2 linked regions of the Diceros bicornis minor genome follow. The protein of the gene in region 2 binds, or shares a complex with, the protein of the main gene of each other region. Links are inferred from orthologs where the notes say so. Each region holds a gene or a part of one and is shown on either strand. Other genes may lie near its edges.

What was found.
Region 1: the proteins of OPRM1 (region 2) and POMC are in contact, whole or in part, in a cryo-EM structure (PDB 8F7Q), measured with the Homo sapiens proteins. The link is inferred for Diceros bicornis minor from reciprocal best matches to the Homo sapiens genes OPRM1 and POMC. Residues at the interface, in NP_000905.3 of Homo sapiens: Ser66, Met67, Ala70, Ile71, Met74, Gln126, Asn129, Tyr130, Leu131, Met132, Gly133, Trp135, Val145, Ile146, Asp149, Tyr150, Met153, Arg213, Ile217, Asp218, Cys219, Thr220, Glu231, Lys235, Val238, Ile298, Val302, Lys305, Trp320, Ile324; in NP_000930.1 of Homo sapiens: Tyr237, Gly238, Gly239, Phe240, Met241, Thr242, Ser243, Glu244, Lys245, Thr248, Pro249, Leu250, Val251, Leu253.

The regions. Positions count from the first base shown.
Region 1 is NC_080751.1:57,379,980-57,396,505, reverse strand, and holds POMC (pro-opiomelanocortin), read right to left. Parts: upstream 5,707-16,526; coding exon 5,575-5,706; intron 3,524-5,574; coding exon 2,903-3,523; 3' UTR 2,518-2,902; downstream 1-2,517.
Region 2 is NC_080778.1:15,033,537-15,049,561, forward strand, and holds the start of OPRM1 (mu-type opioid receptor), read right to left. Parts: upstream 6,556-16,025; 5' UTR 6,320-6,555; coding exon 6,027-6,319; intron 1-6,026. UniProt on the Homo sapiens protein: Receptor for endogenous opioids such as beta-endorphin and endomorphin. Receptor for natural and synthetic opioids including morphine, heroin, DAMGO, fentanyl, etorphine, buprenorphin and methadone.

The sequences.
Region 1 (16,526 bases), on a different chromosome or scaffold from region 2:
GGCCTCGCCGCTTCCCCTGACCCATTGACTCCGCTGAAACAAGCCATCCTCCTTACATCTGGGGAGACAGTTTAGGGCAGTGTGTTGTTGCTTCACCCTGTTAACCCTAGAAATCTTCTGGTTAAAGTGACCCCTTATCCCAAGTCTGGCCTAGGTCTGAAGACTGCAGAAGGATGGTCACAGTAGGCCTGGCCGGCTGGGGAAGTGGGAAGAAGACACGGGGGCTGTGGGAGGGGCTCTGTGGCCTGTGGGGGCCAGAAGGCAGTTCTGTGTGCTCTCTTTTAGCTCCAGCCAGGTTACCAGGTCTTTTCTCCTTCAGGGAACCTGGGGGCCTCAGCCTGTCACCTTCCCCTTTAAGCTCTTCCTCCATGACTGTTGATTCCGGCCTGTGGAGTGCAGAGCTGTAAATCCACAAATGCTGCAGCCCATACACTGTAACGTGTCTGTGTCCACTTAGACCTTCATGACCTGGCTGAGAGTGTGTGTGCCCGTGTGCGTGCATGTGTGTGTAATATAGTTCATAGTTGACAATGTGTGTATATAATAGCTGATGTATTTATATGGGAGTGCAGAACTAGTGCCTGTGGCTGTTTTCTGTGTTTGAAACTCGTTGAACCAAATTAGTTTTATTTTAAGGAAGGGGAAATAGTAGCGGGGAGAGTGTAGGAAGACGGACTCTTAGCAAGATCACTCGTGATTTCCCAATGAGCCTTCATGATGCCCTTTTCAAATAAATGTTAATGTTGTCACCACATGGTTCTCTATTTTATTTCTTTAAAGTAAATGGTTTTTTGAGATGCAAACAGGATCTGAAAATACCAACATTTACTGCTGACATTTAGCCACCCCCACCTGCCATCACTTTGCTTGCCTCAAAAGGAAGGAGGGTAGGGAAGGGATGCTACCAAGATGTAAACTTGAGGCCCAGGATTCCCAGCATGGGAGCATCCTTTGACGGGAAGGCCTGGGCCATTTCTTCACTAAAGTGACTGGAATCTAGCCCCAGTTCATGTCACCCACATTGGGGGAGACTTTATCTTAGGAATCTGGCTTTCTGATTCCCCTTACATCAGGATTTCCCAGGGTGCACTCCAGTTTTCTTTAATTTTGAACTTCTAGAGCATCAAGATATGGGGGTATATATGTAAGGCCATACACAGATGTTTCCCAGCTGGCTTTGATCTATACCGTCCACTGGTGTGTCTAATGCAGTTGACATGTACGTGTGCATCTCTGTGTATATAAGTATCTGTGAGTCTCTTTTGAATTATCAACGTGTGTGGCTGCCAACCCATGACCCCAGCATTGTGAAAACACCATAGGGACGTATAAAAGAAACACAGCCCCTGGCCTCTGCCCTTGTGGAGCTTAGAGTTTCCCAGAGAGGAGAGCACAAGACATACATGCAGCAAGAAACTGTGTGTCCTCCAGCAGGGGACTGGGGGGGCTGCCCACAGAAACACTGACTATGAGCAGGCTCAGCTGGAAGAGATCACAGATTTCCCAGTGGAAGTGGACTCGAGCCTGGGCTCATGTTGAAAAAACAGTGACATTGACAATGGTGGGAGAAGGTGGGGAATTCCAGGCAGAGGTGAAGGAGGATGAGACAAGAGTGAGAAGATCAGTGGTAGAAACATGGGACATGGGTTTGGTAAGAAAAGTGAACTTCATTGATAAGGGCCCTGCATGCCATGCCACGTAGTTTGGAATTGATGGAAAATTGGGGTAGGGTAACTTTTTTGGTTCTTGAGCCAGGGACTGTGGGGAGAGCAAGATTTTGTATACCTTCATATGAGGAATTTGTGTACAACGGGTTGGGGAGGGGAGCAACTGGAGACAAGGAGACCAGTCGGTTAAGAAGCTGTTCTGATAGTCGAGGCCTGAGCGCGGAGCACTAAGGCTGAAGAAGGGCTGAGGCTGGGCAACATGGGGAGGAGAGAGCTTGAGAGAGAGCCCGGTGGGCTGGGGGGGGCGGGGGAGGGGGAATAGAGGACCTCAAGGCTCGAGCCTCAGGGACTGGAAGAAGCATCTGTGTATATTGTGTTGTATTTATACAGATGTGTCTCCATGGCTGTGTATCTGTGTGGGCGAGACCATGTGTTTGAAAATATTTGTGAGTAGCCTGGGAGTGCAGTCAAATCTGAACTAATACCAACCCTCAGCTCGCACACTTAGCTTCTCAGTCATAAAAAGATCACACCCATTTTCTCATTAATCCTCACAATAGCCCTCACACTAGGGCTAGTGTGGGGTGGATGAGAGAACTGAATCTTGGACTTCATTCAGAGGCTTGCCTAAGCTCACAGATAGCTACGGCTACAGGGAGGCATTACCACAGCTTCCCACCTCACAGCCCAGAGAGCCCTCCCAGCTGCGGGTGGGCTTCATCAGTGTCGGGCTGGCTCTTGGAGTTGGACAGAGAAGCCAGGGTCACTCCTGTAGGAATCCTGCCTTTTGACGCATCTGCTAGCTGAGCAGTCTCTCCCCACCCAGTGGAAGGTGGGGAATGTAGCCACCCTGAGCCATCACCCAAACTATTTGGCCCCTTGAAGACCCATCTATGGGGGAGAGTACATTCTTTCCCTTCCTACTATGTCCTGTGTAACAGACTACCACTCGGTCACACGGAAACCATTATGTCTCTCCTCCGATATCTTTTGCTCTTTATCTGATGGATATGTATTTTTACTTTATTCACCCAGTCGACATTCAAAGTCAGAGTCAGATGTGAAACTGGAAGGGTTTTATTTCCTAACTACACACGGCGGGAAGAGGCCGAGCATCTGCCGCTATCACGGCCCGAGCAAACAGCACACCCAGGCTGCGAGGCGGCAGGAGGCAGGCGAGGAGCGGGGCGTAGGGCCGACTCCCTGGGGAGAGAAGCCCCTCGCCCGCTGCGCCCTCACTGGCCCTTCTTGTGGGCGTTCTTGATGGCGTTTTTGAACAGCGTCACCAGGGGCGTCTGGCTCTTCTCGGAGCTCATGAAGCCGCCGTAGCGCTTGTCCTTGGGCGGGCTGCCCCAGCGGAAGTGCTCCATCTTATAGGGCCCCTCGTCCTTCTTCTCGGCCGCCTCGGCCTCCGCCACCAGGCTGTACTCCAGGCCGGCCGGGGCCGCCGCGGGCTCGGGCCGCTCCCCGGCCAGCTCCCGCTTGAACTCCAAGGGGAAGGCCTCGGCCGACTCGTCCTCGGCGCCGTTGGGGTACACCTTCACCGGGCGCCGCTTCTTGCCCACCGGCTTGCCCCAGCGGAAGTGCTCCATGGAGTAGGAGCGCTTGCCCTCGCGCGGGCCCGGCTCGCCGCCATCGCCGCGGGGCGCGGGGCGGCCCACCAGCACCACCGCCTCCTCCTCGCGCTTCTGGCCCGCGCCGCCGCCGCCGCTGCTGTTCCGGCGGCCGAAGCGGTCCCAGCGGAAGTGGCCCATGACGTACTTCCGGGGGTTCTCGGTCGGCGGCTGCTCGTCGCCGTTGCCGGGGAACACGGGCGTCTCGGCCGAGGGGTCGGGCCTGCAGGCCCGGATGCACGCCTGCGGGAGAGCCGGGCGAGTGAGGGCCGCGCGCCGGCAGCCCCCCCAGCACGCCCTCCGCGCTGCGCCTGCGCCCTCCGCGCCTCCAGTGCCCCGCGACCGTCACCACGTGCGGCCCTCGCTCCCGGGGACGCCTGCCCTCCTCGTCCTCTTGGCCCCCACGGACACCTGAGACTCAGCTTGGGCATCGCCTGCTTTGTCCCTGTACCCCTTGACACTTCTGCCTGGCAGCTGCAGCAAAAACCCCATGCCACTCCTTGGTTTACTTGTCCCATAGCTTTTGCGAGCAGGGTCACCGTCTTCCCGTTATACGTCTGATATATAGGAATTAATAAATGGCGGGTGGGTGTTAGTCGTTGGGACTTAATGAATATTGAATAAATATATTTGGTTCAGTTTGAGTCTGGGAAGGACATTGGGCTGAAATTTGGGGTAGAATCTCCCCAGGTGGGAGAAGTACAAGTCTGGCTTCTAGGGCCTGTATTTTCAATAATGCCTCAACCCTACCCCAGCGATCTGCAAACCTACCCCATGCCCTACCCCAGCTATCTCCTTGTACCATGCTTCAAAACTTTCCCATGTCCATCTGGCACTTTCTCTGGTTCTTTCAAGACTTCTGAGCTGATCCTGTACTTTCCCCAATCAGTGAGCTTTGGGAGGGGGTTTCGCTTCCCTGTCATCTCATTCTGACTGGAGGGAGGGATAGAAAGCCAGGATTATTTCCATTGCACGGGTCATGGAGTGCGTGTCTCTGCTCTCTGTAACTAGACAACTCAGCTGTGGTAAACATTTGCTTAGGAAAATGACCTATACGCTGCAGCCTTGAGTTTTCAATTACTCAAGACTGCAAAGGAGGAAACAGAAGCATCCCACCCACTCTTGAGTTGGGAATTTCATACTCTGGGAACTTAGAATTCTAACACTGCAGAATATTAACAGTGGAAAATAAGAAGTATTTCATACTCCTCTCCCCTGGACACAGGAGAGCTCAGAGAGGTGAAAGGACCTTGGCAAGGTTCCGTAGCTCACAGGACTGAGACTAGAACCCATGGGCTCTGATGATGGCTGTGCTCTTTCCCTGGTGAGCTCTCAGGAGACGTTGTGCAGTGGGTGTCTCCAGTCAAGAGCCTCTTGCATCTCTCTGAACTAGAACTCACAGAATTCCCTGAGATCATTGTTTCTATTTTGTATTCCACATGCAAACTGCTCTGTGTTTTTGAGAAAGTCTCTCTTCACCTTAACTCAGCTTCTCCATTGACAAAACACAGAAGGTAGTGATGTGCGTTCCATCTTCACTACGCAGGTGCTGGCAGCAGGGTGGAACGCGCTCACCAACACCAGCAGTGTGTCTTTTAGTCCTTGCTTGGTATCATTTCTCATTTATGCCTCCCAATACACACACACACACACACACCCTGTGGTAACCTCGCGGGAGTTCCAACCTGGCACAACGGGCCTTTACATGCTTCTGGAAAGGCTGCAGGAGGTCAGTCCTCCAGAAGAAGCATGAGCCATTGGGCACCAGTTAGAGGAAAATGGCACCTGGGTTTTTCCTTCTCCCTTTAGAGATGATTTGTGGTACTACCTCGCTGGGGTTGTAACTGGTAGTAGATAAAAAGGGAAGAAAAGTGGAATGCAGATGGCAAGTGATATGAGGTTATTTAAAAACGAATAATTTGGAGGCTAAAAGATTGAAAATGTAGGATCAATTGAGGGAGCAATTATTGTTATTACTGTTATTAGTATTGTTATTATTATTTTTATGGCACTATCTCTAAATAGCTTAAATGGAGTAGTGTCCCCATACAAGGAGACAGGGCAGGAAGCAAAGATAATCAAGCCAAAATTGTGGACCAGACCCATCTGGTCCTGCTTCCTGAAGCTGCTTCCTCCCCTCCTTGACCCAATTCTGACTTCACCCTAGAGATCTGTTCCTGCCCTGGGTTGAGTATCTCTGGGAATGAATCCAAACCCCTTTCTTTTGTGCTGTCCCAACCCCAGCCCCAGTCCCACCTGATGCCCAAACAAGATGGCAGCCATGGCCCACATACCAGCAGGTTACTTTCCGTGGTGAGGTCCTGACACTGGCTGGTCTCCAGGCACCAGCCACGCACTTCCACGGAGGCCTGAAGCAGCAGGGCCAGCATCAGAGCCCCCGAGCGGCTGCCGCGTTGTCTCGGCATCTTGCAGGCAGGCTGAGGCTCTGCGGAGGCAAACAAGATTGGTGGGACCCCTGCAAGGAGCAGAACAATGTTGGTCACTCACCAGGAAGGACTGTGAGCCAACATTAACAACACACTCATTTGTGGAGCTCAAGGCTTTTTGAGGACAGGAGCAGTTCAAGGAGAAGGTTGGTGTGCAGAGTGGTGGTGTGAGTTGTGGTAGAGCGGAGGGGAGTGGGACCTGGGTGAACTATGTGGAATTTCCCCTTTATCTCCTGTTAAAAATCAGATCTGAAAGGAGATAGGGCTGGAAGCTATTTTGGGGGTCATTTGGTCCAGCCCGTTGTTTAAGAGATGGGGAAACTGAGGCCCAGAGAGAGACAATAACTTGGGTGTTCATGACAAGGTGAGGCTAATTTCTCCTTTTACTAGCACGGAGCTTTCCTATTTCACCACCTACATGAAGCTATAGTTCTAACACTCCAGAACCAAGGAGTAACTTGGGAAAGACAAAGGATTCTGAAGCTCCTGCTCGATGGTCTTTTCCCTCCGCCTCCACCAGGATCCTATCATTCCTCAGAAACTCTTATTTCCTATGAATAGTAGGTTTGCATAAGCACAAATAAAACCTCTGGCCAACTTAGCCAAAACCACAGCCAACCCAATTTGATGTCCTGTACACAAACCCCACAAATGATCACTATCTCCCACACCCCGGCATCTTTGGAGAGATTTACTTGTAAAGCACACCCCCATTCTTTTAAAACTGGCTCATCTTCTGAACATATTACATGTCAGACCTCTTGTTCTCTGAGTCTCTCAAATGTAGTCCTAAATAGCTGGACTTGAAGATGCTGTAGGTGTAGAAGGGAAGGAGATGGACAGACAGAGCAGAAGGGAACTACTTCCCCTTGTGGAGAAGTCAGGAAGTACCTCTGGGCAGATGCTGAGGCCAAGAGGTCAAGATGCGGTAAAGAGTGGAGCCAATGCTGCCCTTTGCCCCCTGTGCCCAACCCTTTCCCCAGCCCTCTAGCTCTCATGCTGCCATGTCCCCCCTCACCCAGGTCAGCCCCCTGAAGTGACCCTGAGTTCTGTCATGAGCTCGCCACCAACCCCACAATCATTTTGGATTTTAGAAGATCTTCTCAACCAGCTGTTAGGAAGAAACCTAATTAGATGATAAAAGTAATTTACATTAAGATGTAGGTGACTAATTGTCTCTCCTAGTGGACATTTGCATTTTAAAATGTTTACTTAAAGAAATCTCGCATTTGTGGAGGCATGGGCCAAATCTTTTTTATAGGGAAGGCTTTAGAAGTGAAAGCTCTCCTTGGTTCTCATTGTCTACTTCAGGAAGCCACTTCCTTCTCTCTGCCACACCCCCACTCCTTTCCCCAAAAGCTGAGCCAGCTCAGGGCTCCCTTCTGAATGGTTGCCAGGCACTGCCTATTTTCAGAGCAGCCATTAGATGGCACTGGCAGCCAGTGAGCTGGCCCATCAGTATCTCAGGCTGAAGGGGCAACTGAGAGAGCACTGGTCAAATCGTAATGTCCAGTCATGATGGGGGACAGGCTGCTCCTGTTGTAGCCTTTTGATGCTCCAGTTCAAGTATGAAGCCTGAACTTGGTGGACAAGGCAATTTACATTAAAGCTCTGAGACCACACAGCACAGAAAAATGCCCAGATTTACAAGAGAAGCAGAAAAATGGTAGTTATATATCACTGTGGGCAAGTGTAAAAGAACATATTAGTAGAGAAAGAAGTAGAATCATACAGGTCTGACAGTTCTCTCAACTATATTTAAATTCTCCTCAAGATTGGCCATTCCAGAATGATCTTTTTCTAAAAACCTACCTCATGTGTTCAGGGCTTTCTGAAAAGCCCCAGAGAGCATTTCCTCTTCTTCTGCTGCATTGGCTGTGTTGCACAACATGGTAACATTCTCACTCCCCACCCTCTCAGAGCTCCATTCTCTGGCTAAAAAGTTAGATAGTTTCCTGAAAGCAACTTGTTTTCTTTTTGCTTTTGTGTATTTTCTATTTTTCTACAATGAAGAGATATTACCTTGTGTCCTTTTTTTAAAGCAGTAATGTAACCAGGAAATGTCAAAAGCTGTGCTTTTTGAGGGTAAGGAGAGTGTTACAACCCAATAATTGAAAGCCTTAGAAAAACAAATAGAAATTTGTAATTTGTTAATCTTGACATTAACTTTATAATACAACTACATTTATTAGAACTTCATATGTGTAGGTGAATTCTCTATGAGCTAAACAAAACATTTTGTTTGTTACTCTCACATTGCTCACTGGCCATGCCCTTCTGTAAAGATTAGAGGAGCAGAGGCACGGGGTTTTGTCCTTGCACCATGATACACGTGCATCAAGTCCTAAAACAAAAGTGTCAAAGGAATATTAACTCCTTAAATAAGCCATAATCTGTGCATATCTTCACAGTTGACAAAACAAATGCACGCTTTTACTTTCCTTGGCTCCTTCCAGCCATTCCTTGAGAACAACCACCTTCCCACTTATACCGAAGAATTTGGGGGATCCAAATGCCCTGCAGACTCTCCCTTCTTCCCTGGAGACCCCCCCTTGCCTGAGCCTCTGTCAGCTCAAACGGCTGCTGCCGCCCTGCGGCCTAGGGTCTGCGGGATGGGAAGTGCACTCTGCAGTCCTATGGAGGGCACCGACATGGCGTTTCAGGACCTTGGACAGTTCCCGACTGGGCGTCCTCTTTTTTGCCCCAGCTGGGAGACCCGTGTCGCTACCGTGGCGCAGCCACGTCGAGTGCTCTAAGGTGGGCAGAAAAACGAGGATTCTGGGGTCTGAATCCCAAAAAGTCTGGAATGCAGGGAGTTTATTGTGACTTTTAGCCTTTTCTCTCCTGCCCCCTTTCCAACGTTAATTTGCGCCAGAGTTATATGGTGTCCTTTAAGAAGTGACACCTCCCCAGGAAATAGAGAGGAAGAGGAGCCAAAAGACCGGGCTCTCCCCAGAAGGCGGTAGGAGTCTCAGGGGTTCTAGCAGCCCCACTCCCCGGAGGAGGCGCGGCCGCCAGCTCCGGGAAGCACCATCTCCAGCGTGGCAGCCGTTCGCTCACCGGCCGGAGGCTGGCCCTCGCCGCTCCGCTGCGGGCGGCTTCCCACGCCGCACTCAGTGCAGAAAGTTTTCAAAGAGCTCAGGACCGAAGCGAGGCAACGGCGCCTCGAGTCCGCTATGGGAGCTGGACGAGAGCATCCCGAGGCCCCAGGGCAGGGGGTCCCGGGGGGAGAGCTAGGTTCCGCGCCGGGGCGCCCTTACCTGCCGCGGGGAGGCTGCTCTCTGGGCGACTCCCGCTGCGCCGGGGCAAGGATGCTCGGCGGCCTCTCTCGGTCACTTTTCTTCCGCTCTTTCTCCTCCTTCGCCGCCGTCTGGTCCTGGTCGCTCTCTTCTGTCTTTATATACCTACGGGGCTCGCCCGTGTGGGGCGCTAAACGAGAACTTCCCGGCAGGGCAGCGTAACAAGCAACTCCCCCGTCCATGGGAAGGGGGGCCATGGTGAGGGGGGTTTCCAGGTAGGGGTTGAGCGCAAGGGCAGACGTGCCTGGAAAGGAGGCTGGATCTCTGCCCCCGGAGGCTGGAATTAGCACTGTCCGGCTAAAGGGCGCACCTGGCACCTTCAGGAAAGAACTTAATTAAGGACGGTGTTGGGTCTCCAGTTAGGACGAGCGGGAGGCTTAGCACCCCAGTGTGGCGCAGGCCTGGCGTGCCTGCTGAGGTCGTTGAGAAGAGGGTGAAGTTACCTGTGTGCGCGCTTGGGCTGGCATCTGCCTCATTGGCATTTAGAGGTAAATATCACCGCAGAGGCAGTACGTCTGTGATGCCTCAGATTTCCCCAACTTTTGGAAACTGATGTGAAGAAGTAACCGGGACTCACAATCCCCCTGTTCCAGGTTGGGGAAACCGGGGGCAGAGAAGGTGAAGAGTCACTCACTCACCTGAGGCTCAGAATAGGTTGCCTTCCGGGGGCATGACGGTGAGTTGCACTGCCCCCCTGGGACCTGCTCCCCGAGGGCTTAGTCCAGGGCAGGCTCCTTCCTGTGCCCCAAACCCCAAGGAAAAGGTGCTGTTAACCTTAGAATATTAACACGGTAGGGAGTGCTCTGTGAAGAGCAGCTGAAGTACTTTCCCTCTCGCCTCTGATCCATCCCTGTGGCAATGAGCTGGCAGAGTGGTCTGGGGACTCTCAATCTTCTCCAAGCCTGGCCTTGGAGCTCTGGCTTGGCTCTAGTCCCAACTGTCAGGACAGGGAGGAGAGGACAGCACTCAAACCTGCAATGGAAGAGACTCTCCCTCAGCCCGGAGGAAAGAAGCAAAAGCAAGTTGTGAGGAGTCATGGGGGTGAGAGAGAGTGTTGGAACCAAACTGAACTTCAAATCAAGGTGCTTGTTTAATCTGCCAATTGCAGGAACTTTACTCCCCATCAGATGCTCTTTTGGACTCCAACACTCCCTTGAGAATTTTTGGTTGGTGACATTGGCTTTATATTCAGCAATCCTTTCCTTTTGGGCCACAGGGGAGGTCCAGGCTCCTTACCAATAAACAAGGTACTTTATCACCTGGCCTAGGCCTCTTTCCAGGGTCATCTCCCACCTCCCCATCTTGTGTCCCGGCACTTCCACCATCCCCAACATTCCCACCCCCATGAACACTATTTTCTCAAGCCTCCACCTCTTTGTTACCCGCCCAACTAAAACACCCTTCTTCTCTCCAGCCACCCAGGAAAATTGGGCTCTTGCACTAAGATTTGGCTCTTTATCATCACCTGTTCTCTGAAGCCCTTCTTGGCTGCTTTGTCCTACCTGGGACGTGAAACACAACTTTCTCTGTTCTCCAGAGAACCCCATTCCCATCTCGTGTGTGCACGTAGCCTTCATTGCTAGAACAAATTCCGCTCTGTCTTCCATCTTCCCTCTTCCATGCATGCCTGCCCCTCCCACTGCCAGGCATGTGAACCCTCTAAATCAGATGGGGATTTATCTTATTTTTCTTTGTATTATTTTTATAACTTCCAGAGGCAACTGGCAGTAGCAGAAAAGCCAGACCAGGAAAACTCCATACTGACCCAGCTTCTGTCCTCCTCCATCAGCCCAGTTCTTAATCACATGCAGCAGAACCGAAAGGCCATCGAGCCACGTTTAGAGTCAGTGGGCAGGTTGGAGAGCCAGGACCCAAAAATGGGAAGGGACAAAATGTGGCTGGAATCATGGCCAAAACCAGGTCATTGATTGGATCCAATGAGAAAGAAAACTAGACCACTACTGGGAACAAGAGGCCACAAGTGACAGTCACACCACAGGCATTGGACATAGATGTCACTTCTATCCCCAGAATAAAAAAAAAGTGAGAGGTTGCCATTCCCACTTTGGCTGATGCCACCAGAAAGGACTGACCACTGCCCTTGCTGCCCTGTACCACTAGCTCCTCTTTGAAAGCCTGGAACAGGTGCCTCTGATTGTCTGGGCTAATAATACGATTTTTCCCCTTTATTCTGATAATGTGGTGAGTGATATTGTTGATTTTTAGTGCTACACCTACCATGCATTCCTGGATTGAGCCCAGTTTATGATGTGTTATCTTTATATAGCACTGCGTTCAAATTGCTAATATTTTATTTAAGATTTTTGCATCCATTTATGAGATTGGCCTGTAATTTTCCTTTCTTGTAGAATTCTCGTCAGATTTTGGTATCAAAATTATGCTGTCCTCATGAAACAAGTTGGAAATCTCTCCTCTCCACTCCCACCCCACCCGCATTTTTTATAGTTTAGTAGAAGAATTTGTGCATAATGGAGTTTATCTCTTCCCTAAATGTTTAGCATGATTTATCAGTGATGCCATCTAGGTCTTTAAGGTTGTTTCTTTGTTGAATGGTTTCAAATTACAGATTCAGTTACTTGCATGGCACTATTCTAATTGTCTATTTCTTCTTGTGTCAGTTTTAGTGAGATGTGTATTTATACGAATTTGTTCATTTCATGTAAATTTTTAAATTTACTGGCTTAAAATTGTTTATTATATCTTCTTATTATCTTCTTAGTGTGTATGGTATCTGTAGTTATGGTCCCCTTTCATCTCTGATATTGGGTGATTTATGTCTTCTCTTTTTTCTTGATTAGTTTTCTTAGGAGTTTATCAATCTTATTAGTGTTTTTAAAGAATCAATTTTGCTTTTGTTGATTTTTCTCTATTGCACGTACACTTTTTTTATTTCTGAAATTTCTACTGTTATTATAACAATTCTTTTTTTATCCTCTTGAGTTGGACATTATATCAATGCTTTTACTTAGACAATTGATACTCAACCTTTATTCTTTTTGATATATGTATTTATGAGTATAAATTCCTTTCTAAGAATGGTTTTAGATGTGTCCCACAAGTTTTGATATGTCATATTTTTATTAACATTTGGTTTAAAATATCTTCTTATTTTCATTGAGGTGTCTTGATTGACCTATGGGTTATTGGGAAGTGTTCTGTTTAACTTCCAAACAGTGGAGATTTTCTAGTGTTGTTTTGAAACTAATTCTTAGCCTAACTCCCCTGTGGCCAGACGACATGCTCTATTTGATTTTAGTCCTTTGAAATCTGGGGGGGCTGCTGCTTAATGGATGAACTTTTGGTCCATTTTGATTAATGTTTCATATGCACTTCAAAAGAATGTGTTCTATGGTTGCTCAAATATTCTATATCCTCTCTATACCTATATCCTTTCTGATTATTTATCATTTTATTCTTTTACTTACTGACAGAAGTATGTTTTTAAAATCTCCCCATTATTTTTGTGGATTTATCTACTCCCCATCATAAAAACAACTCTTTCTAGAAATCTAACAGTGAACGTGGAGCAATGGTGGAGGGTAATATAGGATCAAGGATAAAGATAGCAGAAAGGTACTAGAGCATGGTTGCATGCTGATGGGAATAATTCAGTAGAGAGGGAGAAATTGATGCTGCAGATGAGAGTGGGGAAAACCAAATAATCCAAGTCTTAAGGAGAAGCAAGATGGGATCCAGAGGAAGAACCTCGCCTTCAAACAGTGGAGGACTTGCCTCTTCCATAACAGGGGTGCAGGAGGAAAAGGAGGTGCAGACACAGATAGACTTGTAGGATAAGCCATGGGACAGTGAGTGGGCTTCTGTCTGTACTGAAGCTTTTACCTTTTAACCCAGGATTTCCCATTATCCTGAGGAAATTATCTAGCAGTTACACTAAATGCGGTTCAAGACTATTCCTACAACATTGTTTATAGTAGCAATAAATTGAAATAAACTAAACGTCTGTAGTAGGGTATAGTTATAAAAATATGGTAAAGCCATACAATGGAATAGTCTGCAGCCATTCAAGATAATAATGTAGATATTTAGTTCTAGACATAAAAAATGACCACTATCTGCTGTTAAGTGGAGAAAGTATGATAAGATAAAATCTACATAGAGATAGAGATAGAAATAGAGATAGATGTTAAAAGATACCAAAGTGTTAATAATGCTTGTTCTGGTTATTTAATGCTATATTACAAACCACCCCCAAAATGTAGCGGTTTAAAACAACAGTGTTTATTTTTCTCATGGATCTGCAGTATGGTCAAGGTTTGGCAGGACCAGCACGTCCCTGCCCCACGTGGCATCAGCCTGGGCAGCTTGAAGCCTGGGGTCTGCAATTATCTGAAGTCACTCACTCACATGACTGGCTCCTGGGCTGGGAAGACTCAAACAGCTGGGGGCAAGAAGATTTGGGGCTCCTCAGACACGTCTCGCTATCTCTATGCAGTCTTGCCATGTGATCTCTTCAGCATGGCAGTTTTAGGGGAGCTAGACTTCTTACACATAGGCTCAGGCCTCCCAAGCTTGCATCTGGAGGCGATTTGCTCTGCCAAGGAAAGAGGGTGGTGGATGGTCAGCAAGGGCTGCTCAGAGAAGGGGATGCTGTGCTGTGCTGAGCCCTGATACAACAGGTCACCAGGATGAAGAGAGGAAAGGCATTCCAGGCAGATGGAACAGCATGTGCAAAGGGCTCAAGGCAGGAGAAAACCTGTCACATTCATGGAATGCTGGATGCCTGTGGTGGAGGGAGAAAGAAAAGACTGGAAACAGAGGCAAGAGAGGAGAAGGTAGAGGACCATTTAGGGATTGAGTCAGAGGAGAAATCGGACCAGATTTCTGTAGCACTGAGGAGGATGATCAGAGCGGAGGGAGCCTGGAGACAGCAAGGGATGACCAGAAGCCCAGTGCTCTGCTCCAGGGCCTGGAGGCCAGTCCAGCCAGGAGTGGGAGCAGTGAGTGGGGAGATGAGGCAGAGGCAGGTTCATGAAATACTAAGGATGTGGCATCAGTGTAGGGGATGGAGTCATGGACACTCCCCTGTCTGAGGTTGACATGGCTGTGCTGTGGCGCAATGCAGTGTCATGGTTAAGAGCACAGCTCTGGAGCCAGACTGCCTGGTCCTAACCCCACTCAACCACTGCCTCGCTGTGTGACTCTGAGCCAATTCCAAACATCTCTGTACTTGGTTGTCCCATCTGTGAAATGAGGGAAATGATTGCACCAACCCATGTGGCTGTCATACGGAAGAAATGAGGTAATACGTGTAAAGATCTCAGAGCAGGACCTGGCCTCTAGTTAGTTCTACACAGTGCTAGCCTTTATCCTTATGACTATGGAAGTGCTGGCCCAGGAGAGCCCAGCCTAGAGTGGAGGGAGGGAGGATGACGGGGTGGGAGGATGACGGGGAGGGAAAAAGGGAATGAGGGAAAGAGGGCTAGAAGGATGGAGGCAGGAGCAGACACGGGGTCTTTGGATAGGATAGCTGAGGAGTCTGTTTGGAGACCCGAGTGTGAGGATTCCTGGGCTGGGCTGATGCACTGACACCTGGCTGCCCTCGTCATCCTGGCTTTTCACCTTAGAAGGTTTAATTGGAAAAGCAATGTCACCAGGGTGTGAGTGCGTTACAAAGACAGGTGTAGAGGCGCCACCGCAGGGGAGAAAGAAGGGCTGGGAGGACAACAACAAGGTTGCGGTGGCTGAGAGCCCAGCAAGGGGAGGGGGGCGCACAAGGAGAGTGGCCTTGCCCGCAGCCTCCAGGCGCTCGGGCTGGGCAATGGGGGCCATGTCACTGGGAGAAGAGAAGACTTAGGGACGAGGCTGCCACGTGCCTGCGTCTGGCAGACTGTGCTGGAACAAGCACGAACTCAAGCCTTGAGGGGCAGAGTGGGGATGAGCAGGGAGGAATCCCAGCTCCCTCCTGTCCACCCTTCTTCACTCTCTCTCCACAGTCCCCGTGGACAAGCGGTGGCTGCCAGCCCTGCCTCGTGTCAGAACAGCTGTCCCTCCTCAGGGCTCGTGGGGACCAGCCGGGGCCCCCGTGGGAGGGAGAACTTCATTCCTGCTGCTGTCTGGGTCAGAGGGGCCTCAGCCGGCTCAGCTGGTGCCCCTTGTCTGCAAGGGAACGGCTCCCATGGTCACTGTGTGAAAAGTTCCTGTCAACGTGCTGGCACAGAATTGGTGCTCAAGAAATATTTGCAGATAGTGGATTGGAGGGGGGGAGTGAATGAGGAAGGGAGCCCGTTTAAGCCTCAGTTTACAGAAGCTCGTGATTCTCTAAAACCCTCTCCAAACTTCCTCTGTAGGATGTATGAACCTAAAACAGAGAGTGCTTCCCCTCCTCACATGGTGTCTGAATTAGAAACGGCCCCACATCTGCCCCTTTATGTGTGTGTCTAACGGGGAGGTGGGGATGGGAGAGGAGGGACTCAGCCCTCCCTGGTTGCAGCAGCCCAGGGACCAGGGGCAGCTTTGGGGTGGCTCTGGCTCCCCATGATCCAGACCTAAGTCACTACAGGCTTCTTGCCTTCCAGTCACTTGCTCTTTCAGAGATAAGAAGAGAGGACACTGAGTGTCCTTCTACAGGCGGGCTCATGGGGGGCTACCTGCCCGATGTACCATGGATGCTGAGGAGAGGGGCTTCCTGAGGAGAGAGCGAAGCGGATTTGGAGCCTCTGGGTGCAGAGCAGGGAGCAGGATCCGGCCCCGCCCCAGGCAGACCAGCCCTCCCTGCAGAGAGGAGGACCTGTGGGAAGCCCACAACAGGGCGGATGGGGTGACCAGGGTTTCGGGAGGGGGTCTCTGCCCAAGGACTGGAGGAGGGAATGGAGGGCAAGGTAGAGAGAGAGACTGGAGAGGAAGGGACAAGCTGAGGGCCTGGCCAGGGCTTGGGGTCCAACTGGATGCTGGGGAGAGCGGAGAGAGAAAGAAGTCGGCAGGATTTCAGTGTGGGGCTGGGGAGCGGACTGGGAGGAGTGGACAGGGGGATGGGTTGGGCGTGGGGAATCGCTGAGACATGTTGCCTTTGAGGCAGCTACTGTTCAACCTGTTCTCTGCCAGGGCCAGTGGGCGCCCACACAGGGTATACTGGGAGGCCACCAGGTGTGGCAGGGAAAGTGCCAGCTTGGAGTGCCCACATTTGGTTCTATCATTCATTCCCTCAACAAATGTTTATTGACCCGAATGTGTGCCGGGACAGACCAGGTCTGTGCTCCCAAGGGGACTTCAGCTCTAGGGAAACTGATAATAAAATAGTCAACAAATAATTATGAATTGTGATAAGTACAATGAAAGAAACAGAGCAGGAGAGGGGAGGGGAAAAGCTTCTTAGCAGAAGGAACAGAGAATGCAAAGGCCCTGAGGCAGAGAAGATAAGAGGGTTGCAGGAGCTGCTGGAGTAGGAGGAAGAGTGGGGAGCAGCCCTTGCAATGGAGGGACATGCGGGATGGGTCTTGGAGGCTGTAAAGGTCGTTAGAT
Region 2 (16,025 bases):
GAGTCTGTAAAGCTCTATTTATTAATCAGATTTTACTGTGCCAACACATAGTAGCCAATTACAAAATAACAGGAATGATGAGCTTTGCAGAATCTGAGACAAGAGCTTATGTGAGGGTGAGTCATCTTGGAAAGCAATTACAGGGAACAGAAGTGGGGAAGTAGAGGAGTGAAACCGGAAAGGAGGAAAGCATATCCTTGAAATGGTCACAAAGTGGACCAGATCTTCCGACGTGCCTGTGGTCTGCTCCTCAGAACTGTGCACCTGAGGGGAGAGGGAAGCAGAGGGGACCATTTGTCCACAGGCTCCCATTTCCCTAGTTAAAGGTTGTTCCATGGGGGGGCAATTTCCTCACATTTCCTCAGGCTGATTCCTGTGGAGGCCGGTGGAGTCAGAGAAGCTCCAGAGCAGAAGGCAAGGGATATAGACGCAGGTAAGGTGAAATGTTACCAAGCTGTATCTGGGCGAAACTGATTGCCACAACAATCACTGAAGTAAACGGTGAGCTGAAGGACGAGAGGTAAGATACAAGAAGAGTCTGAAATAATACGAAAACCACTGTTTTAAAGTATTGCCTGAGGGAGCCCTAGAAATTCCACGGAAGTGCCTTAGGGACAGCAATGGAGAGAGGGACAGAGAAGGCAGTTGAGCAGTGCTCTTGGGCCCCCCCACATGATTAGTTCTGAACAACTCTTCTTTGATCTGCTTTGTATATTGGCTTCCAAGTTCTTGAAATAAGTGTCTACACCTAAAAACAACTTTGGAGACTACTGTCATCAATCATTATTTCACTTAAATATACATTAAACTTTGTGAGGGTTAAAGATTTGAAATTCTCATATCTTAAAATTTCACACAACATTTAGTCTTGGTATTTATCATCAATATATTTTAAAATGTCATAGTGTTTTATATTACTTATTAAAATGAGTTTATCTTTTCCTGCTGACTGAAACAACTTGATTTTAATTAATACCTGAAGTGGAATACTAGAAGAAATAACATTTTCAATTTTTATGTGTAAAGGATTTTTCAAGATGTTCAAAATCCCAAAGTAAATATTGTCAGAATTTATCATTTGAATGACATCTTGAGGTAATCAGAAACCAATTATTTTTATTTCCTTCTTAGAAGTAGAGAAATTATGTCTGGGTTATATTCATGAACAGATTTACTTGTTGCAGCAATTGCTGAAAATTTTTTTCTGAATATTGTGTATAAATATTAATGGAAATAGTTTGGGAAAACACTTGAAAAAAAATCTTTACAATAATTTTTAACACAGATTTAGTGATAAGTTAAAAATATTCAGGAGAGTTAGTGGCCAAAGTTTTTGTTTATTTTTATGTTGTTTTGTTTGACATCTGGTTTCTATTATTGATCTGCTAGAACTAGAACAACTCTGGGAAAATAGTGAAATTATTTGTATAACATTAATGTAAAATATAAATATTTAATATATAAAGTTTGAAGAACATGCTTAAAAGCTGGTATTTTGTTTATGGAAACACTCATTTGAGATAAGAGTTTAAAAATATGCATGTGAATAATAACCACCAAATTTATAATAGTGATAGTCTCTGGGAAAGGAATATAATGGGAGAAGAAATCAGGTTTCTTATATATATTATATATTTTTTATATATTGTATTATACATTACATATAATATATAAATTATATATAATTATTTATTATACATGTATATATAAATAAATATATTTATATATGTAATATAAATATAAATAAAATAATTACTAGAAGTATACATAATTATTGTAATTATATATATAGTTTTTAAAGGTGAAGACATTTTATTCTGTATATGTTCCTTTATGTTGAAAATATTTCATAATGTATAAGATAGCTCATTCTTTCAAGAAAGAAAGGAGAGAAGAACAAGAAACTCAATGATAACTTTGTGCAAATGAGAGAGACACAGCTTACAACAGAGAAAAAGAAAAGCAACTTAGTGTTCTCAGGACATGCTGAGGAACAGATGTTGCCGACAGAATTAGCACCTTTGTGGGAAATAGCAGTTAAAGTTCAAATTGTAATAGACGATACTAGAAGCTTTCCATTGTGAAGTGAAAGGCATACTATTAAATTCTTATGTTTCAATGTAAACCATTATATTCAGGACAGATTCTCATTAGTTAGGGTTTTTCCCTCTAAATCCATACTCTAACTAGGATATTTCATAGTTTTTATAAAAAGGAAGTAAGCATTATTAGTATTTGAGCTTTCTAAATAAATTATTATCTTTTTTATTTCCTGAAAATTACTAGTGACCATATTCAGTGACATATGCATTCAAATTAATTTGTATGTATATATGTATTTGTATACACATATGTATAAATACCTACATATATATCCTTAAGTTAGATAAAACATTATTCCTTATTTTCTCAGCTACTTACATCTGAATTAAGTAAAAAAGCTGTACTTCTGTTCCAATCAGTCCTGACTGATCATTTTGCAGTTTAAATCTGAATCAAATCTTTAGTATATATAGAAAGTATAAGCTCATAGGACTTGTTTTAAAATCAGAAGTACTTTTCAATGAAAAAAAAATGACAATAACATCTTGCATATATTTAAATGCTCTTCTCTGATAACTAGTCATATTAAGAATTTATCTAGTCAAGTTAAGAAATAGTCTTAAAAATGAAGGCAATATCATTGGCCCTCTTCATTGGAACTTTACTTGGAAGGATGGTTTAAACAGCCCACAGAGATCTAACAGTTTCTAACCCTCTACATTTTTCAACAGTGTCTTCATAGACCATGTTATGACTACATGGAGAAAAAAAAACTCACAAAACAAACACACCTGGGACTATATTAGTTTTTACAGTTATGTAGTAATAAATACTATATTAGTATTTACAGTATAATTCTATACTTTGGTCAAATATTTTCAATAGCTAAAACATTCCTGGTGGCTATAACTGTGTATTACTTTGATTTATTTTTTCCCTTAAAACATTCATGACAATAATATGCTATCATCCCATTTTAAGTGATTGCTACATTTTAAAATATTTTTATCACCATATTTTCCAGAATGCAAATTTTGTGGTAATTTTTATAGTATTATTATCCTGCAAGTAATTTTTTTCTTTAAAACCAAAAAAATTTCAGGTGATAGTTAAAACATTTCTATTGTTTAACATCTGGATTTTAAATCTTTAGATCATATGACAGTATCTCTTTTCCTCCCCTATGTTCCTCAGAATAGCACCATGTAAGAATTCTACTTATGTTACACGATTTAATAATGTTGTTGATGAAGATATGATGATGATGGAGTTGAGACATAGAACAGAAGAGCATTAATCACAGCATCTGTATTTACCAGTTATTTTTGCCGCCATAGTCATCTGAGCCTCATGATTCACTCCATATGTTAAGACATTCAAATCATTATTACCTTAATCTGGTTAGAAAGCTGTAACTACTTGACCATTCAAAAGTATTTGTTGAATTTTAAACAATAGCAGAAAGTGAGTATTTCACCTCAATACTTTAATAAACGCAGCATTATACTCATCTTTTTACAGAGGCACTAATATCCCTAACTGGTCGTTTGGTAGTGAAAACACCACAGCCCGGAGACAGTCTAGTTAAATATTCTCAGCTAAATAGACATACGTTCTTCAATCCCTAGATGCTTTCCTCGTTACTTCATTGGTCTCTGAGCTGTCTATTTTTCTGTTTCATAGTCATGTTCCCAGAGGGTTACCTGACCTTGGAATTAAACACCCAACTTCCCACAGGTGGGTGTTTGGGGTGACCTTTCAAATTGTACCACGTTTTGTTAGAACTTGCAGGACGGAGAAGTAAAGAATAATATCACGTTCTCAGTAAGAGGCAGTGTCACCGTCCTTCTCCAAGTCATCAAGAGGTCAGAGGTAATGTTTTAAAACAAACTCACCCAACTAACAATCTCTTAAACACGAGAATAAGACCAATCTGCTTATTTCACAGCTGGTTGGTTCTCTACCGGCTCTCTCTTTATAGAAAACTACAAACCAGAGGGATGAAAAATAAGGAAGTAAAACACCAAGAGAAGCAATAAAAGAGAATGAAAGATTATGCTTCAGAGGACAGGATTTCTAGATGCTTTTGTAATTTCTCTTTATCTTTTATTCTTAAAGATTCCAGAAGTAAATTTGGGATAAATGATTATTTCCACATTATTTCTGCTAACTAAACCTACACTGTCAATCTTTTAGTTGAATTAACTCAAATCGTGATTTGCCATTCTGATAAACAGATTATATTGGCTAAGAGAGATTCAGTGGTATTGAACTAATGAACTATTTGTTCTTGGAGAGATCGTTTATATCTTCCATGCCTCAGTTTACTCACCTACCATAGATAATGTCTAAGGTCCCTTCTAGACCTATAAGCTTATGATTCTAAGAATTTTCTTAGGAAAAAAGAGAAACATATTTTCCCTTCATAAGGCAGGCCTTTAATTATGATTTTTATTGTCATAACTGCAGAATGAGTCTTGGTTTTTATCTTTGATGTGCATCTTTGTATTGGATTACATCAAGTAAATGTTTTTAAAAATAAATTCTTCCTTGATTCTCTTCCTAGATTATTTTTTTCTGTTGTTAGCCTTTTCCTCAATAGGTGGTGCTCTTTTCTCAGAGACACTTCTTATCTTACACATCAGGGAAATTAGTTTTACTCTTTGACAATCGTTAATTAAAGAAATCAGATATATAAGTAGACAGAATCAATTACAAGCAACTTGCGGTACCTTGATAATGAAAGCATAATGGGGAAAATTATTGTTAATGATCAAAGAGCTCCACTGAAACCTGCAATATTGCTGAATAGATGAAGCAAATGTAGATAAATATGAAAATGCCACGTTCACTACATACGTGGAATCCCTAGTAGGAAGAAAACTCCAAATCAGGAGCCATTTTAAAGTGTTAAAATGTTTGTCTATTTTAACAAAAGTAAATACATAATATTCCATGTTAACATGTAGGACTTAATATACACATCAACCCTAGCACAATCTACATCAATCTCATTTAATATTGAGAGCTCGCACACTCTTTGCCAAAGAAACTTGGAGTATCTGGGTAAACAGAAAGTGGGCTGCAAACTCTTCTGAAATAATTTTACTGGATAAAAAACACTTTTATTTTTTCCAGAGCGACATTACAGCTTCCTGTATAATTGTTTATAATCCAGAATTATGCTGCTTTTCATTGCTTCTAACTGATTCCCACTTTCAGAGACATGGAAAAACAGACACATCCTGTAGTTCTCTTGAACCACCCTACCTATTCCAGATTCAGTTTGTGACTCCTCTAGTAGATCTGCGGCTGCCAACTGCCAACTGGTCTAGGCAATACAACTGTCATGTTTGTTACAACAAAGTAACATTATTTACTGTGGAGAGACAGCAGGAAAACTTCCTCTATGAGTGTGGCCTGAGGCCGGAAGGAAGAGGGGGGTATAGGCGACTGTGACAAGGGAAGAGGAGGGATGGGGTGGTGGTGCAGCCAAGCACACAGAAACCAGCAGTAGTAGGAAAGTTGCCAAGGTTCATCTCTGAAAAGAACTGAGAAGGAGACCTGGCCCTCCAATTAGGGAAAACGAACTAGAATTCCTCTTCCATTACTCACAAATTAGTATTTCCTCAGCTCTGCCAAAGGGACTGTGGGACTCTGTGCCCAAGAGCCCTCTTGACTCAGTATAAGCCAGCTCTAAGACAGAGATTTTTTTTTTTTTGCCAGAGCTTTACAGCTTTTACCAAGCAACTTCTCTGTTCTTGAAATTTTTTATTCTTTCTTTATCAATGGAGGGAAAAACAGAAAAGTAGATTTTTGCACTCAAACAGCAACCACTCTATCCACTGTCGCTCCCACATTCTCCACTGTTTGCCTCCCTTCTCTTATCCTCCCGCCAAACACTCTGCCTGGGGACTCAGGTGTCCCTTTTTGCCCCCATTAGCCGCCGAAATCTCCGTTCGGAGCCCTGGCGCCTTCCTTACCTGACAATCACATACATGACCAGGAAGTTTCCGAAGAGACCCACCACGCACACGATGGAGTAGAGGGCCATGATGGTGATGGCCGTGATCATGGAAGGACTGCCGGTCGGAGGGCACAGGCTGTCGCTCCCGCCCAGCTCGGTACGGTTCGGACCGCATGGGTCGGACAGGTTGGCATCTACGTGGGAGAAGTTGACCCAGGAACCGGAGCTAGGTGCTGGGGAGCAACTTGAAGAGTGCGTGAAGGGATCAGTGCAATTGCTGGCATTTGTGGGGACGGCGCTGCTGTCCATGGTGCTGACGGCCGGCTGCGACCACGTTGGGAGGTAACCGCGAGCACCCGGACTTTTCTCGTTCCACGCGCCTCAGCCTCTTCCTCTTGCCGCTGCTACAGCTCCTGCTGTTTCTTACAGAGACCAACCCTGGCGGAGCCAGAGAGGAGCAGAAGAGGAGAGCTGAGCCTCTGACATTATCCTCTGCTTGTAGCCCCCTCCCACCTTAGTAGTTCGGAGACACATCCCCAACCCCAAACCGCTGAGGGGAAGGGAGGGAGGGCTGTGCGGGATCCGGAGGCTGGAGGGGAGGGAGGAATGAGAAGGGGTGGATTTTGCGCAAAGCAATCCAAAGAGTTGGTCTCCCCACTCGGCACTCGTCCGTGCAAACACCTCTAAGGAGGGGCAGAATGGGGAAGGGAGTTAAAAGGAAGGGTGGGGAGAGAGACAGAGAGTTTTTGTCAATAGTAAAGCATAGAAAAGGGGTCTGACATCACTCTATTTTCCAGTGTCGTTTTCTCTGTATAATATGACAGTAAGGACGTTGGCTTGAAGCAGCCGGGACAACTCTAACATCCCAATGCTCTTCCGTCTCTACTTCCTACCGCAATCATTAGGGGCAGGGGGTACAAACTCCTCTTCTTTAGTCCTCCTTGCCTCAGTCCCGCACATCCACAATAAGGTAACCGTGTTTTTCATATTACTAAATGAGAATTTCCAACCCTTCAAACCTGCCTGAAACAAGAGAGAGCTTTTCTCTGAAAAAGAAATGAGAACAAACTTTTGTGGAAGAAACCTATTGCCTTTACTCCATATTCCCCAATTTCTCCTAGAGTAGAAGCTCTAGTTGTGTCTGATTTCTATCTGGATGGGGAAGAGGCTAAAGGACTGGTTACAGAAATCAGAGATTTGTGGCATCCAGGAAAGTCAGCGAAAGATAATTATGATCCTCCACATCTTAAATCTCATAGATCCAGTTGGAATCATTAATTATCTCTTTTATCTCCAGACTACCTATGTGGACATGTACTTCTCAGTAGAATATTGTCAAAATCAAATAACATTTGCATTATTTCAGCCTGTTTTCTAGTGTAGAGATTCCAGGAGGAACTACATAGATATCTTGTGTGGAATGGCCCACACAAGGTTGAGGAATATGGGCACATTTTAAAATTTGATACCTCTCTACTAAGTCCACAAATGCTTCTATTTTAGAAATAAATTTGTAAATCAACCAGGATTAAGATTTTTTTTGTTAAAATTTACATTAATTCTAAAGTAATTCTCATTTCTGTACAGGTGTATATTTGTATATGTATATATCTTTTAACAACAAACATTAGCATTAAATATCCCCAATTGGTTGTAGAAAGTTACACTCATGGGGAGCAGGGAGAAGGGTGGGTTAGGGAGCTTGAAAGGAACATTTAATTCCAATACTATTTTTACCATTTTCTTGAAAACAGATAACTCATAGGTAAACTCCACTAATCATAGGTTATTTTGCCAATGTTCAGTATTATTTCAATCCTTTTACATTAAAGGGTTTAATTTCAGCAATAAAATGTTATAGAGATCTCCTAGAGACTAATAAAAATGCCTTACCACATATTCTCCTATGAACTAATACATCAACTCACTCACGTTGAACTGAAATCTGTCTGCCATTATTCAGTCTCTTGAGGACACACAGAACCAGTACAAGCTTACTTCATGTGAAAGATAAATAGGCACAATGTAATAAGACCTGGCCTTGGAGTCAAATCATTTCGTGAATCTTAGATTTGTAACTTTTTAGCTGCATGAGTTTGGATATGCTACTTTAACCTCACTGAGTGACAGTTTTCTTATCATTAAAAAAATGTTAATAATACCTCATATGTCTGTTAGCAGGATTAAATGAGATACACAATGAAATGGTAGTTGTTTAATAAATGATAACTGTTGTTATTACACTTCATATATTTCAAAATAATTGAGTAGTCTCTTCTACAAGTTAAACATTAGTTTCCTTCGGCTGCTTCTTATAAGATGTAGTTTTGAGTTTTTTCAGTATCTCTTTTCTATTCACATTATAGTTTGTATATCTGCTCTTAAGGTACAGCTCCAGGGCTAAAAACAGTGCCCTAAGTTTGGCCTGACCAATAAAAACTGAGCAAGATTATAAACTTCCTCTTTCTGCTGATACAGGTATCGAAGGGTCCCATTCACTTTTTTTTTTTTAAGTCACACTGCTCTCTTGACTCTCCATAGGTTTAATATTGACAAAATTCCCTAAACATGATCCAAGTCTGTTCAAGAAATATTTATTAAAGATCTGCTTTGGACCAGGCGCTGGAGTTAAAAAAGGTAGATACAATTGTTTTTGAACACAGAAGCTTACTTCTTATACCTGATGAGTCATGTTTTTCCTTTCCTATAAATTTATAATTATTCTAGACAGATCTGAGTACAACACTATAAATTTTTTATTTTTAAATTACATCTTCTTAGTTAGATCCAGTTCATGATTCAAATTCAATGAGATCTTTTGGAATGGTGTTTCTGTCATCTTTTGTATACGTACTTCCTACCTCATATATTTTATTTACCTTACCAGCTTTATATACTCTACAATAATGTTCCCGAGGGCAGGCTTGCTCACTACATAGTACTTAATACATAGTAGACTCCCTCCCTCTTACTCTCTCTATGTATGAAATATACATGTATATGTACATATATAATATTTTAATTCAATTGAAAGATAATTAGTGTATGCTTCATAAATGCTATGGACTGAATGTTTGTATCCGCCCCAAATTCACAGGTTGAAATTCTAACGCTCGGTGTGATGGGATTAGAAGATGGGGTCATTGGGAGGTAATTAGGTCATGAGTGTGGACTCTTAATGAATGAAATTATTGCTCTGATAAAAGAAATTCCAGAGAACTCTCTAGCTCTCTTTCTGCCACCTGAGGGTACAATGAGAAGACAGCAGTCTGGCAGTCTGCAACCCAGAAGGGGGCCCTTACAAGAACCTGACCATGCCAGCGCCCTCATCTCAGACTTTCAGCCTCTAGAACTGTAAGAAATAAATTTCTGTTCCTTATCAGCCACTCAGTTTATGGTATTTTGTTATAGCAACCCAAACTGACTAAGACAATAACATCATCTGGGTGATTTTTAAATGGCACAGCTTGAAAACAAAATATGTTTAAGAATACTTCACTGACAACGTTTTGTCCTTTTTAACTCAGTACGCTCTGTTAACCTGCCAAGATTTAAATGTATAGACACATGGACTGGCCAAGTGACTCTTCTGGAATTACTGTTAAAGAGCAACTCAATTCCCATTGACTTTCTCTGGAAACATTATTTGTTTTTCATTCTATTTCATAAAAAATGTAATCATCCTATGCAGTAGGAATTTGAACTTAGTGCTTCAACCATATATTTTTCAATTGAAATTTGATGTTTTCCTTTTCTACTACTCTCTCTCAAGTTTCATTAAGGATAACTATTATGTCTATTTTAATTGTAGGATTTTCTAGATATTGCAAGTCTTTCTTTAAATGGTATTAACCTTTACATCTCAGTATCTCCCATCTATTAAATATACAACTTGGGAAAATGCAGAACAAATTTAATCTCTTTCAAATATTTTAAGATAGCTTTGAGAAACACAGAGAAGAGTTGTTATAAAAATAGCAAATTAATACCACTTAACATATAGTATAAAAGGACCTCAAATTCCAGCTTCCATAGTATTATATTTCCTACCAGAGTTGTCTCAAGTCTACTGTGAAAGCTCAAGTCTCCTGTGAAAGGAGATGGGCTGTAAATAAATGAATCAATTTATTACAAACCTAATTATTTTATATAACATGGATTGTAACCATATAACCTTTAGTTTCCTTGAGCCTTAGTATGTTATCTGATTAATAGGAATATCTGCCTTTTTGTTGATATTTTTTGCATAGCCTAGATTTTCTATTTGAAGAAAGAAAAACTTATCTATCAGTCAACGTTTAACATTGCTATAAAAGCCATATTATACAACATTTTTTCATTAAAATATTTTCTTCAAAACAAGGCATTTAATAATAGCTAGAATGAATCCCAGGCAAGTGCTAAAAGTCACTCTTCTTCCTTGTATTTCAAAATATATAGGCTTTAGTTATTCATGTAATTGTCATCATCCCAGACTTATTTTAATAGCTTAGTCCTGATTTTTTTGAGAGTAGCTGTTAATGGAACACACGATAAGCAGCTACTAATGAGGAATACGGACATAAATACTATGCATAAAGCTATTATAGTGGTTTGAAGCACAGGAAAAAAGGGACCATCATTTTTACATTGGAAGAGTTCCATTGGAAGAAAATTTTATGTATTTGTTTACAGACATTTTCTATGTTATCTAACATCTAAATGTGTATAACTAATCAGAATGTAAATTCATTATGATGCAATATTATCCTTGATCACTTTAGTGTTGCACAAACATCCAGTGAAATGGAATAGGTACTCTTATTTACATGGTAAAAATAAAACAGAAAAGGAAAAATAAACTTCACAACTACCTCAACCTGATCAATCTAAGAGAGAGACTTCTGGGATAGAGTGGGCAAAAGTCCTGGACTTTAAATTAAAAAGCAGCTCAAAATCCATACTCTTTATTTACTTCCCTGTGACTTAGCTAAAATTACTCGTGTTTCCTGATCCTTGGTTTCCTCCTCTGTAATATAAGAATATGAGAATGAACTTCAAAGCAGTGTTGCAGGACCATTTGTATATGAAAGAATTTATCCTTTGTCTTTTGGCTTTTTATATCTTGTTTTATGTGGCCTGGAGATTAGCAAGAATAATGATCAGAAATATTGCACTATATTTAATAGCATAGAATTGACCTTGAAGGACCTGACTCTTTTAAGGGCCTGAGGTGGTGTCTATGAGTCCAACTCTTTCAAATAATTCATTTAAGCAGCTAGTTTATCATCAGTGTAAATATCTTTCTTAAAATCTGGAACCTCATTTCGATTTGAATCTTGCTCTTCAGTTTTCAGTTATAGAGGACTGCCATTTCTCTAGTCAGTCTCTTATCACTTTATATTTAGAGGAACAGTTGTCAGAATTTTTGGTCTCAGGACTTTTTACACATTTAAAAATTATTGAGGATTCAAAGAACTTTTGTTTATGTGGGTTATCTTTATCACAATTTATCACTTAGAAATTGAAACAGAAAAATTTAGTAACATGTCTTTATCAATTCATTTGAAATAACAATAAACCTATTATATGTCAACATAAATTTTTTAGGGAAAAAACTGTATATTTTCTAAAATTAGAAAATATTTAATGAGAAGAGTGGCTTCGTTTTACACTATGCAATGATTTTTAACGTCTGGTTTAGAAGAAGATATTTGGATTCTCATATCTGCTTTTGCATTCAATCAGTTGTAACATGTTGTTTGGTTGAAGTATATAAAGAAAATATGGCCTTGCAATACGGTTGGAATAGGCAAGAGTATTTTAGTGGTCTTTGCAGATAATCGTAGACAGTTTTCTTTGATAATCAACCCAAACTTAACAAGTGCTTATTTCTTAAAGGTTAGTTGGAATGTGGACATTGAAATCATGTCAGTTAATTTTTTTGTGCTCTGTTACATTAAAATCCATTGGTCTATCTTCCACTTTGAAAGAATCTGCTACTCATGCATGGTTGTGCAGCATTATGCCTTGATCACTTGGAAAATATTTCCTTATGCCAATTTTCCAAATGCTTAAACATTCCATTATACAATATCAAAAAATCACATTTATTAATATCACCACTGATATTATAGGAAAGTTCTTCAAATATTGAGATGATGTCAAATTGATAAAGGAAGACAAAAGTTTTCCAATTTCCAATTTTACTTGAAAGATTGAATTTCATCATTGGCAATAAATGAATAACTTTCAGTTTTCCTTGAAGTGACAGGCTCTCTTCCTTCATTTTCTACAAATATGCAATTCTGAATACATACAGTTTATCTTTCAATCATTCTTGAAGTAAAAATAGTATTCCATGGAAAAGTTCAGTTCACAACTAAAACAATCACGCAAGAGTTTTTCCTCGAGAGACAACCATCCTACTTTGGTGTGAGGCAGAAGTGCTTTGTGTGTACTTCCCATTTCATCATATGGAATGTCAAAAAAGTATATACTCAAGGGTCAAGATTTAATAAAATTAATAATTGTTACTGACCCATCAATGACATTTTAAAAGTGAAACTTTATTTTCTTTTCTGTGAAGAGCACAGTGACTACTAGCACAGTTTGGTGTCACTGCTTGATTCCTGCTAAGTTGCTGGCAGTTTTCCCCCCACTTCTTTTTGCATCATTAATGCAAATTTCAATACAGTGAAAAAGCCATATAACTTTCTAGAATTATTATGAAAATAGTTTCAACCTCATGGATCCCTGGGGTCATGGACTACAGTTTCAGAACCACTAATTTACACTATCATAAATATTTTCTGCTTTCATTTCCTATCAATCCATTGAACATATATATCAGTGCTATAAATCTTCCTAAGAATTGCTCCTTGAGTAAGTCACTTCTTTGCACCATAGCCTTCAATGATTTACCAAAAAAAAAAAATCCTTATTAATCTGTATAAGAATCCACATAACTCTATGTTTCTTTTCCCTTGATTAATTTTACTGTTTTTCCCCTCCCTGAACTTCCAAGCACCACGGATCACAGAGGAAGTGATGGTGCAGCATTTTTCTAGCAGGTTAATTCTGCATTCAAACGGTCACACATCTGCCTTTGTACAAGGAGACCCTCTTACTTTGGTGTTAGTACAATCAGACTATTCCATTTTCATTAAGAAATGGCTCATTATTCGTGTTTTTATCTCTAACAAAGCCCTGCCCTCAATCTTCCTTCTATTTTCTCACAGCCCCATTTACTCCTCCACACTTTAAAATCTGGCCTTTCTTTCTAAGGATGTTAGGGACTTTCATAATGCTAACCTAATGGTTTTTAGTCTTATCTTACAGGATCTCTCTTCCTGATACTCCTTACTGTCTCTTTCCACAACTTCATTTCTTGATTATCTTACCACTCTGATCATTCCCTTTTGTTTATTTTAATGATTCCTTCTTCTTTTCTTGCTCCTTAAAATACTGACGTTTTTCAGCATTCTCTCAACTAACCTTCTCAACATGCTCTTCCAAAGTAATCTCAACTCACCTTTGATTTTAACCTGTATGTTGATGGACCCAATCTACATCTCCAGCTATGACCTTTATCTAAATCTTCAGATTCTAATACCCATGGGTTTGGTAGACATTTCCACTTGGGTACCAGAAATGCCATATGTCCAAAGTGTTTTCACATTCCTATCCAAATACACTTATCTTAATGACATCACCACCCCCTGAGTCTCCCATCCCAGAAACCTGGCAGCCATCCTTAGCACTTCCAACTCGGCAGCATTATGTGTGGTTAGGAGCATAAACTCTGGTGCCCCATTTATTGTTAAAATCCTATTTTAACCACAAACAAGCAGTGTGACCTTTGACCACTGACTTAAATGGCTGATAGAATGTTTTTTCATCTATAAAATTGGGTTCCCTTGAGTGTCTCCTTCATAGGGCTTTTATAGGCATTAAATGACTTGTTGATGATAAAGCACTTACAAGTGTCCTTGGCACATGTAAACATGATATAAATATTTGCTAAATAAAGTCATAGACTGCTCCCACTCCCATTTTATTCTCACATTCAATCACCATGATTGCTGTTTCTACCTTTTACATTTCCTCTCATTCTTGCTATCACTCTTCTAGTCCAGGCTTCTGTCACTCATTTAGAATTACACAGTAAGCTCGTAACGGATCTCTCTTTCTCTCTACACATTCACCCTATACACTGTTGCCAAAATGAGATGTTAAAAATGGAAATCTGACTGTGCCCTACTGATCATGCTTGTTGGCTCTCCATAATTTATAGGATAAAGTTGAGTCTCTTGTCATACATGGTCCTTTAGGACAAACCCTTCTAGCTTCCTCTTTGGATAGTCACTGTTTACACTTTGCTCCCCATGAATACTGAAGAGCCTGTAGTTCTTGTACTTGCCATCGTCTTTCTTGTGCCTGTGTTCTGCTCATTTTCTTCTCTAGCACACAGGAAGTATTTAATAAATATTTGTTGACTGACTGTAGGGCACTGTTTTGGTCCTGTTTGACGATGTAGCACAATGTAGCACAATGTAGCGCAATGGCACAGTGATGAAATATATCAGACTTTCAGTAAACATTTCTGTAGCAACCAATTGTCAGGAAAGGAGCAAAGACCCAATGGTTAGATGCATCTAGACATGGAGCAGAGTATCTCAGACCTTAATGCATTTGTGCCAGACAATAAACTAGTCATTTTCCCTGTAAGTACCTTTAGTAAAATAATAATTTAAAATTGTCTAAATACCAATATTTTTATATTAATATTAAGAAACAATTTTTTTTTGTTTTGTTTTGCTTTGTTTTGTGAGGAAGATTAGCCCTGAGCTAACATCCATTGCCAATCCTCCTCTTTTTGCTAGGGAAGATTGGCCCTGGGCTAATATCTGTGCCATCTTCCTCTACTTTACATGGAAGTAAAGTACCACAGCGTGGCTTGATAAGTGCTGCATAGGTCCACACCAGTAATCTGAACCTGGGAACCCCGGGCCATAGAAATGGATCACCTGAATTTAACTGCTATGCCGTAAGATTTAAAGAAATATAAACTCCTATTCACATAGCTTTGGATGGGATTAAACTGTCATAGATTTTTTTCTTTAATTTTTGTTTTGTTCTTATTGCTTTTAATATAAAATTAAAACAGAACTCTACTATAACCCTAGAATTAACTTATGTTTAGGTTCTTTTTGGCTGTAATTTCTCCTCATTGCTTTCTATTGTGTATTCTACAGTTCGTCAGCATCCATTTGCAGGTTCAGAGAGATGTATTAATATAACTTTGCTTTATTTTTTTCTCTTTTCTGTGGCACCTTTTCTATAGGAGCAATGAAAGCAAAACACATATATTTTATTTATTTATTTATTTATTTATTTTTATTGTGGTAACATTGGTTTATAACATTATATAAACTTGAGGTGTACATCATTATATTTCAATGTCTGTGTAGACTACATCATGTTTGTCCATCCACATTGTTGCAAATGGCAAGATTTCATCTTTTTTATAGCTGAGTAGTATTTCATTGTATATATACCACATCTTTATCCATTCATCCATTGATGGACACTTAGGTTGTTTCCAAGTCTTGGCTATTGTGAATAATGCTGCAATGAACATAGGGGTGCACATATCTTTTTGCATTTGTGTTTTCATGTTCTATGGATAAATACCCAGCAGTGGAATACCTGGATCATATGATAGTTCTATTCTTATTTTTTGAAGAATCTCCATACTGTTTTCCATAGTGGCTGCACCAGTTTGCATTCCTGGCAGCTGGTATAAGGGTTCCCTTTTCTCCACATTCTCTCCAACACTTGTTATTTCTTGTCTTTTTAATTATAGCCATTCTAGTGGGTGTGAGGTGATATCTCATTGTAGTTTTTATTTGCAATACATATATTTTTAAAGTTGTTTTTAACTCTGGATTCTTCCCATCTTAATATAATTTTTTATCTTTCAGTGAATAGATTGCAGAAAATTTGATGTAGAACAATATTTATCACCCAAACC